3 separate regions of the Mus musculus genome follow, and regions 2 and 3 are each reported to be linked to region 1. The links are microRNA targets in miRTarBase. Many come from high-throughput screens and were not tested one by one. Region 1 holds a microRNA gene; each other region holds the end of a gene's coding sequence.

Evidence for each region. Region 1 holds the annotated microRNA mmu-miR-876-3p (UAGUGGUUUACAAAGUAAUUCA, at 1,597-1,618, shown strand). A microRNA usually pairs through its seed, bases 2 to 8, with sites in the 3' UTR of a target mRNA and lowers its output. Matches are read on the target gene's strand: a 7mer-m8 pairs with bases 2 to 8, a 7mer-A1 pairs with bases 2 to 7 and ends in A, and an 8mer does both.
Region 2: the mRNA of Plekha2 is a reported target of mmu-miR-876-3p. Seed matches in the 3' UTR shown: 7mer-m8 at 1,058-1,064 and 7mer-m8 at 1,320-1,326.
Region 3: miRTarBase lists Vldlr as a target of mmu-miR-876-3p. Seed matches in the 3' UTR shown: 7mer-m8 at 2,816-2,822.

The regions. Positions count from the first base shown.
Region 1 is chr4:36,643,735-36,647,000 of GRCm38, reverse strand. Mir876 (microRNA 876) reads left to right here and starts at 1,548; the gene lies at 1,548-1,628. All of the region lies in intron 2 of Lingo2 (leucine rich repeat and Ig domain containing 2), which reads left to right.
Region 2 is chr8:25,039,873-25,043,138 of GRCm38, reverse strand. Plekha2 (pleckstrin homology domain-containing, family A (phosphoinositide binding specific) member 2) reads left to right here. Exons shown (of 12, transcript NM_031257.3): 12 at 101-3,266. The coding sequence ends at 463. Among named protein-coding and RNA genes, the nearest start is that of Htra4, 2.5 kb to the right of the region's middle.
Region 3 is chr19:27,248,551-27,251,816 of GRCm38, forward strand. It overlaps Vldlr (very low density lipoprotein receptor), which reads left to right. Exons shown (of 18, transcript NM_001161420.1): 18 at 555-3,266. The coding sequence ends at 590. The region is part of intron 3 of Gm35438 (a long non-coding RNA gene); the gene reads right to left. Among named protein-coding and RNA genes, the nearest start is that of Vldlr, 33 kb to the left of the region's middle.

The DNA.
Region 1 (3,266 bases):
TTAATGTTGCTTAGTATCTTTATTTTCTAATTTCTCTCATTTGTTGTCTACAATCTGGACATGCTTGCTAGTTTTCACTTATATCTAAATTTTGTGTAATTTTCTACTTTCAGCAGTAGTGTAGCAGAGAACAGATGACATTTTAATTTCTTCTTTCTACTGTTTTTAATGTGCCCCGTCTGCTTCAAATGTTCTAATCCTATCCTCATTGCTAAATTGTATTGTACCTTCAATTTTTCAACTAAGTAATTTCTCACAGAAACCTCCTGCTATGACTGGATAATGTGGACTCTAAAGCAATCTATGTGGACCCTTTTTAAGGAACACAATTGTTCTTGTTGGTTTTATTTATTTTGTTTTATCTGTTTCTTGAAGCTAGGGTATGTATTGGGTTTGCATTTACTTCCTTATACCTGGCAAGCATTATGTACGTCATATACCAGCCATACGGTAAGTATATATGAATGTGTAAATAATTTTACAATTTATTTTCCACTTAAAGTTTTTCCTTGCTTAGCCAGCCAGTCTGGCCTTACTTCCCTGTTTTACTTGGGAATGCACAGTGATATGTAGTGACAGTTTTGAACACACTAAGATGTTAGATTTGCAAATTTCTGAAAAATATTGTATGTTAATTATTATTGACATTCATGGTATACATACAAAAAGTCAAAATTCTCAAATCCATAGATGGCCTGAGAGATATAATCCTAGTCCATTAAAATTTAAAAATTATTTTCTTTTTAATGATCATAAATTAAAATTCTAGTTTTCTTTTAAATCTTTAGATAAATGTTACCATTGAAGCAAACATAACAAAGGAGAAAAACGAAAGATGTTTCATTCCTGTGAATTTATTAAAGCAGTGCCCATTAGAGATTTTTTTCAGTTACTTTGGTGTTTTGTTTTGTTTTGTTTCTCAAAGCTGAACCTAGTGAGGAAACTAACATATATTTAAGTAGCCTCAGAGAGTTTCAGCCAATCACATGCAGAACTCAAACTTAAGATAGAAAAAAAATCAGATAAAATCTAAGAACTTATGCAAAATACATGTAGGCTAACTGAGACTATTTTTAGAGCAAAACAACCACATCATGTGTATGTTGTAATGTGAGATGCACGTATGAAATGTCATTCCTTATTTTACTTCTCTCCTCCCACAGGTTATATTAATATCCATATCTCAATTCTATGAGCATAGTGGGCATTTTACTTCTCTTTCATCTCTTGGTTGTTCTTGCTCATTCCTCTAATTGATCTACCTTGATACATAATACGGAAAGTATAATTTGGTTTTATGTATTTTTCAGATTTTTTCAGTGTTTCTTATTATTTTACCAATTAAAAATGTATATATTATAATACTATATATATAAAACCTGTTGATTCATGAATGTTTATTCTCTTGCTCAAATGTTGTTAAAATTAAATTAAATTATATTTTAATGCCATATGAACGATAAAAAGATGTCTTGAATAATTTTTCAAACTCTGGGCATGGTAGCATATAATTTTTATGTTCATGTGTACAAGCATTACATAAACTGTCACGTGCTATGGATTTCTCTGTGAATCACTATATCAAATCTAGTGTGGTAGTGGTTTACAAAGTAATTCATAGTGCTTCACAGGTGCTCCTACAGTTGATCTGTATTTTGAAACCTAGGATCCTTCATTGGGCCATTGAGAACAAATCCTTAAGCTATAAGATTTAAACCTTTCATAAACAGTTACTTTGTTAATTAGAGAACAAGAAGCAAAGATATGTCAAGCACTGGAAAATTAAGCTACATATATTGTAACTTGCTTGTAATATAACACCTGAGAAGCTGAGGCAGGAGGATGGCAGCATTTGAGGACTGCCTATTACATATTGCCAGGCCATCTCATATCTCATATATATATATATATATATATATATATATATATATATATATGTATATATATATATATATACACACACACATATATATGTGTGTGTGTGTTTGTGTGTGTGTGTGTATTTTACATTTATGCACAGTCTGTTCTTGTTTTTTTTAGCAACACCTGCCCCAACAATTGGCAGTATGCCCTATTTTTAAAAATGCAGTAGATCCAAAACAAAAGCACTGAATTGACATCTGCACCCATTAATTATAAGTGAAACATTTTGAAATTTAATTCTGTTACTATTACTTGGACAAATATATATATATATATATATATATATATATTAATAAAGAGGAAACATTTTTACAGAGAGCTTATCCAGTGACTTTACTGATTATGCAATTCAAATAGAAATTAATCAGGGAATTTATAAACATCATTATTTTAAAATAATTTTAAAAGTAACTAAATTTTAATACTATTCAAATGATACAGACACAGAATTAGCCAAAATATACAAAATTGTATACTTAATTTGCCATTATTTATCATTAATTCTCTACAAATTTAGCTTCTGTCATCTTTTAATGGCAAAGAAATTTAGTAAGAGTCTAAAGCCATCGTCAATGTTTGAGAACTTGGATTGTGCATCAAGAGAACCAGGGTACAATTTGCTGCACACCTGCATCATATGCATCACAGAAACCAATAAGTTCAGCTGAAGAGATCTGACACTCTCTATCACTCTCTATTGGCCTATGTTGGACCTTACACTAATGTGCATGTTCCCACACACAGATGCACTCATATACATACTCATAGTGTTAGAATAATCTTTAAAATGAGTAAGTTTCACAAGGCTAAAGAGTATAGTTGCTATCATGTTACCTACCAGTTGCTGGGAAACAACAGGAAGTTCATGGTTATTACCCTCATTAGTGTTGTTAAATGTGCTGATTCTAGAAACAGAAACCCAACCTTTCACCATTAGTTTTTCAATCGCTGGTATAAGCTCCAAAAATTTTGTTTAGTTTTGGTATATGAGCTCTTCTATTTGAAGGCTAGAACTTAGGTGTAATCTAAGCTCAGTCATATGGCAACAAGATTTTCGTAGTGATAGATTGTATTTATCTCCGATTTCTTGTGACACCATTACATTCCTAAATGATAATGAACAGGATTCTGAAATTACTTATGAATCATCATTGAATCAATCTATTATTTCTCTTCTGAAGTTATTTTTGTCTTGCTATATTAGAGCTAATACATCTTGTTTACAAGTTTAGGTATCATTACAATGTCCTAACAAATCAAAAAGTTTTTCCATTATACATTAAAAAATAAATCTTAAAAATAAAAATATATGTTACATAAATAATGATACTTTATTTGAGCCT
Region 2 (3,266 bases), not on the chromosome of region 1:
AGTGTCCCTGTTTGAATTGACCATCTGAGTGGGTTCTTGAGACTTGGAGACAAGCATTGTAAGGAAAACCCCTTACTTTGTCTTCTCTTTCTGTGTTTAGGAGCCGTCCTTTTCAAGGTCCATTTCTTTGACTCGACCTGGAAGTTCTACCCTTACAAGCGCGCCTAACTCCATCTTGTCAAGAAGGCGGCCACCAGCAGAAGAGAAAAGAGGTCTCTGTAAGGCCCCTTCGGTGGCCTCCTCCTGGCAACCCTGGACACCTGTCCCCCAGGCTGAGGAAAAGCCGTTGTCGGTGGAGCATGCTCCAGAGGACTCTCTATTCATGCCTAACCCTGGGGAGAGCACAGCTACAGGGGTGCTGGCAAGTTCTCGAGTCAGGCACAGGTCGGAGCCCCAGCACCCCAAGGAGAAGCCATTTGTATTCAACCTTGATGACGAAAACATACGAACCTCTGATGTGTGATATGCAGTGCCCGTTGCGTGCAGGAGAGCCAGGGGCTGTGACTTATTTTCTCTGCCATGGTAGAGGACAGAGTCTAATGGCACTCACAGTGGAGGGGCTCGTCTAGCTGGCTTTGGTTTTGCTATTATTGACACCATTTATTTAACTGGGGAAAGCCACTAGGTTAGACCCACAGGCATACTCTATTACCTCTTGAATGTCCCCATTTCCCCAGGTTTCCTAGTGAGGGGTTAGTTTTCATACTTCCTGTCTGGAGGAGGCTAGAGTCCAGTTTCACCCATAAGCTTTTCCCTCTTGTATTTCTTTTATAGTCTTGGTTTTGCACAGGATCTCTGGCTAAGAACTGCTTTCATCTACCCCTGTTTATTGACTGAAGTCTGGGGATCAGTCAGACCATTAGCATCCAGACTGACAGGCATCGGGTGAGACTCAGGTTATACAGTTCCGATTGGGATCTATCTGAGAGCGGTCGTAAGAGTCTGGGGAGTGAAAGGTGAATTTTTGGGATATCTCCCCCAGGCAGTTCTTTCAGGATACCTCCCAGGGGAGCAGACAGGACCTCTTGTGAGTCATGAGGGCTAATTAAACTGCTATAACCACTTGTAGGAATCATGTCGTCCTCTTGATGCTCCATGACCCCAAATGACATAGAACTGAGTGACAGAGCCACCAGTCTATTTTCCGTGTCATGTCCCGAGGATATGCGGTTATCAGGGTCAAATGTTATGATTGCAGAGACCAGAACAGAGACTTCCCTTGAAACTGAGGTGTGTGTGTGTGTGTGTGTGTGTGTGTGTGAAAGAGAGAGAAAGAGAGAGAGAGAGAGAGAGAGAGAGAGAGAGAGAGAGAGAGAGAAAACCACTCATGTTAGGACAATCTCTCTCTCAGAGGCTTACATTAATATAAAGCAGCTACTGAGAAGAGATGGATGGTTGTTTATTGCAATAAGCATCTTTGATCCATGTTTTCCAGACAGGAGAATGACTCTTTCTTGGCACAGTGAATCTTGAATTCCTGTCTCACAGCTCTTTTATAGCCAGTCGACTTTTGTGTAATGCTAAGTGCTTGTATACTGTGCAGCCTGCTGGCCCACTTGCTCTTTGCTTTATTGCACTGCCTGTTAAATGAAGTCATGCACACACCAGGTGGAACTCTAGCGTCTGATAAGAGCCTATACACTCACTAGTGAAGAGACTTAAATGTGATTTTTCCCCCCAGTACTTACATTTTTCATGGAATAGAAACTGGGAATAAAGAAATTGAATCAGAGGATGAATTGTTGGCTAGGAATTTCCTAGGTTCTAGAAGAGTTTAGAAGATTAGATTTCCACCCAAAATTTAGGGTATGGCTTTTCCACTGGGCAAGATACTATTTCCAGTGCCTTTGGGGTCATTTCTATCAGCCTTCAATGAACTGTGCTACCAGAAAATTATGGCCATTTCCTACAGGGAGAGAGGTCATGGCTCATTCCTATCTGTGTAACTTTTATCTGCTAGGTAAATTAACCCTGTTTTTAATTAGAAATTTGTAGCTCTAAGAGACTAGGAGGCATTTTTTATTTAAGCTAGTTAGCACTCTGTGTCCATAGTTAATGCAAAAGCAAAAACAGGCATAAAGCTCTCCGGGTGAGAGGAAGCATGCTCTTTCAAATGTGACTGTGACCCTGAATCTGGTGCCACACTGAAGACTTCTGGGCTCCGTGTGTGGGAGCTGTCCCCCGACTTTGTCTGGCCTTGTGATCCTGATGAAAAGAAAACCAAACAAAAATCAGTGGGCTTCTTTCTCTTTCTGTTCATGATCTTGTGTGTCTCCCATCCCCTAAAAAAAAAAAAAAAAAAAAAACTTTTGTGTGTTTTGGTTTTTCAGGGTTCGGGGATTATTTATTTAGGAGCGAATAAGGTTACAACCTACTTCAAAAGTCAGTGCCCTTTGTCTCTGGTTTCAGCTTAAAATCTTCCCCTAGAAAATTCTTTGGCTGCTCAACAGAATTGCTCAATGTGAAGATGAGGAACGAATGAAAAATAAATCAGGAACTCCTGAAGGGCCTCGAACATGCCCTGGCTCAAGGAAATGAGGTCATCTTTTGGCGTTTAAATTGCAAAATCTGTCTGTCCCTCTCTTAGAAACTGTTGGCTTGGTTATTAGTGCTGCATCAACGGGTCCTTACAGAAAGTTGAGAGGTTTCGGTACACACTCTGAGATCATGTTAAACACAATGCGGTGTATATTATGCAAACAAAGGAAAAGTACAGTTTCAGTGATCCTAACCAGCCCATACATGAGACTTGCAAGTTAGAACATTGTTAATAGCGGTGCCCAGAAAATATAATTATCTTTGTGAAGCCTCAAAACATTTAAAGTCTCAATTCTTGTTTCAGAATTCCCCTTCTGTCTGTATTTACACACATACACACACCCTTTAAATTTGTTTTTTGCTAGAGTCTTGCTACGGAGTCCAGGCTGGCTTTGAACTGATAATCCTCCTGCCTCAGCCTCCTGAGTGCTTGGATTACAAGTCTATGCCACCATATCCAGCCTAGGACAGTATTTTAATGTGAGCCAAAGATGGTGCATAAACCTTTAGTTTTCAAGGTGTGATGGCGTGTGGGTTTGTGGTTAAGCATAGATTGTGGATAAATCCGAAGGGATTTCTGGATTATAAAAGATACTGCATTTCCTGTGTGGAATAAAAGCAGTCTCTGGGGTTGGGTCCTTCTATAAAGCTTCGAAGGTATTGTTCTCTGTAGCTGAAGTATGTCCTATCCATTACTCTTCAATGCTTTGGTGGACTTGCTTACTCGG
Region 3 (3,266 bases), not on the chromosome of region 1:
TGACTGAACCATGATGAACATGAACAGTGTCCTTGCATGATCTCTGGTGGAACAGGGAGTAAGGTTCAGTGCATATCATATATCTTTTCACATTTGTCTTTAAGATTTATAGTCCGTAAACAGAATCAGTCAAAGTTTTTTTCCAACCAAGTAGGTACAAGTTAAATATCCCATATTTAAAATACTTGGTGTCCAAAGTGTTCAGAGGGGCATGGATTTTGAAGTTTTTGCATACATAAGAAGTTTGAACACAAAATCCATTTGTTTTATATACACTTTACATGACATTTTGATGTATGTTCATTTTGACCACAACCAATAATATAAGGTTAGATGTAGAATTTTTCTTTTGTAGTGTCATGGTGATACTCAGAAGATTTCAGACTTGGAATCCCCTTTTGAATTTTAGATTTTCAGCTTGGGGTACATAAAAAAAATAATAATGTTATGTTTCTGACCTCCAACTCTTTTGGTCTTTAAATGGCCTACTCAAAAGCAAAGTCCACTCCGTAGAGTAACCGCCAAGCTCACCTGAACCTTTGTCTTCTCTGCAGATATCAGTTGTAAGCACAGATGATGATCTGGCTTGAGTTCTGAACAAATCTTGGTCTATGAGGTCTACACCAATAACACCCTACTCTGGAATGGTAACAGAGCCAGCGCTGAAGTCTCCTTTCTTCCTCCCATCTGGAAGAACATCAAGATATCTTTTTGTGGATCAAGTTTGAGTACTTGATCATTTTTATATTACTTTTGTAAATATTCTTGGCCACATTCTACTTCAGCTCTGGATGTGGTTACCAAGTATCTGTAACCCTTGAGCCCCTAGACAGTATTGCCATCTCTGGCCAAATATGCACTTTCCCTAGAAAGCCATATTCCAGCAATGAACCTTGTGCTATAGTGACTCCCACCTGTACATACATTGTATAGGCCACCTGTACATATCCCAGAGAACAATCACTATTCTTAAGCACTTTGAAGATATTTCTATGTAAATTATTGTAAACTTTTTCAATGGTTGGGACAATGGCAATAGGATAAAACGGGTTACTAAGATGAAATTGCCAAAAAAAAAAAAAAATTTGTAACTAATTTTGTACGTATGAATGAAATCTTTGACCTCTGTCGAGGTTTGCAAAGACTGACTTCAAACTACTGTACGTTTTTTTCAAGTGCTAAAAAAAAAATTAAACCAAGCAGCTTAACCATGGTTTTGATTATTCCTCTAAGATGAGCTTCTGGGAACAGTATCACCAAATGTCCCAAACATTTAAGCTAGAGTTAGTTCTTGATGTTGTATACCTAAGCCCATAATCGAGCTAGTATCTTGGATGGTATACAACCAAGAACCAGCTAAACAATTAGATACAGTTTAATATTTGTACCTCCAAATCTATCACTTCCTTCCTTCTTTCCTTCCTTCCTTTCTTCCCTTGCTGGCCTCAAGCTTGCAATGCTCCTGCCTCAGCCTCTCAACTTCTAGAATTACATGGCTGCACCACTTCACCCAGCCTATGTAGTTTTATTTTATAAATGACACTGTCTTCCAGAATTCCTTTCTTTAACAGATTTCTTTTTCTTACTTTTTTTCCCCATGATCTAGAAACACATGCCAAGATTCTCATGAGTTTTCTTACTTTGTCATCCATGTTCTTTTTCTATTTGTAGGTCAAAGACAAGTGCCTTCTATGGCATGGGAAAGGGCTTTATTCTTATAAGAGTCTGGCCTGTCTTAACTAGAAGACGGGTAGGAAGGATACTAGGTAGGCAGCGTTGCTGAACAATCTAAGTTGTGGTTCTTAGCCTGTCCCAGGAACAGCAGCATGGGAGGCTAGGAACTTAACAGAAATGAGGATTCTTGGTTCTCACCCCAAACCTACTTAATCAGAAACCCCAGTAATACAGACCAGAAAACAGTTTTCACAAATTCCTCATGTACTTTGAATATAACATAAAGTTCGACAAAATCTATTCTAATGTGGCTTTTTATGGAGGGTGTAACTGTAATGTATTCAAAATTGTCAGTGTGGTGGCATCAAATATGTAGAGATGGTCTTTCTGTGGAGAATTTGTGGAACTTTAGTGTGGAGAACAAAGAAGGAGTTGGAGATGAAAAAGTGGTACTGTGTCAAGGGAAGATTTTTGTGAGTTTTCCATCATGTTGGCCATCACATCCTGACTGAAGTCTCAAGATTCCTGGAAGTGAAGGAAGACACAAAGCTTAAAACTCAGATGAGATGCTCTGACTCCATCGTGAAGTGGTCACTGAAAAAAATGTTGCTGGTTTCTTGGGATGAAAGAACTGAGCCAGCATCTGAAAAAGATCATTTCATTTAAAAACAAAAACAAAAAACCTTGTCTCTTCTGTAAAAATCCAACATTAGGTAGAACTTGCTGTAATTTAAAAGTCACAAAGTCATTTATAAAAAATGAAGTGATTAAATATTGACCGAGTATTGTTGAGTATTGCTAGAGTAGCTAGTTATCTGGTGAGACTGCTAATTGATTCAGTGTATGATAGTTCACACGGGATGAGAACCTTGGCCTTTATCACCCAAACAAGAACTCTCTATGAGATTGGTTGACGTGAGTTGGTTGAGTCTCTGGAGCATCAGTTTTCAACTTCTGGATCGCAACCCCTTTGGGGGTGGGTAGGTCACATAACAGATATGCTGACTAACAGAGATTGCCATTATGATTTATAACAATATCAAATGTATAGTTATGAACTAGTTATGAAATAATCTTATGGTTGAGGGTCACCACAACATGAGGAACTATATTAAAGACTCGTGGCATTAGGAAGGTTGAGAACCACTTCTCTAGGGCTCAATGTATTAGATAACTCACTAAGGGGTAAAATATGAAATATCAAATCCTAAAAAGGATATTTATAATTAAAACAGCCTGTCATGAGGCAACTGTGAGTGGAACATCTGGGAATTTGAGAAGTATCTGCAAAGTATAGAAAAATCAACAGATTTGTGGACCCTGGTAAAGAAGTTCAGCCAAGTCTCAGTGAAAAATGTTAAGAAGTTGATGCAAGCTGCATGCTCCTTGTTAAGATGCAGGCTTTGCATATCACCAGGTCACTTAGAATATTCTAACAGTTACTCTGAAGATGTGTCATGATTTGTGAGCCTTTGGATCTGGGTAAATAGAGGACAAAACTAATTCTTTGAGGCTTTAACTTGGGCACTTGCCTTGATTCCTTTTATTATTGGAAGTCAGATACCCCCTCTCCAAAGTGAGCAGGCAGGTTT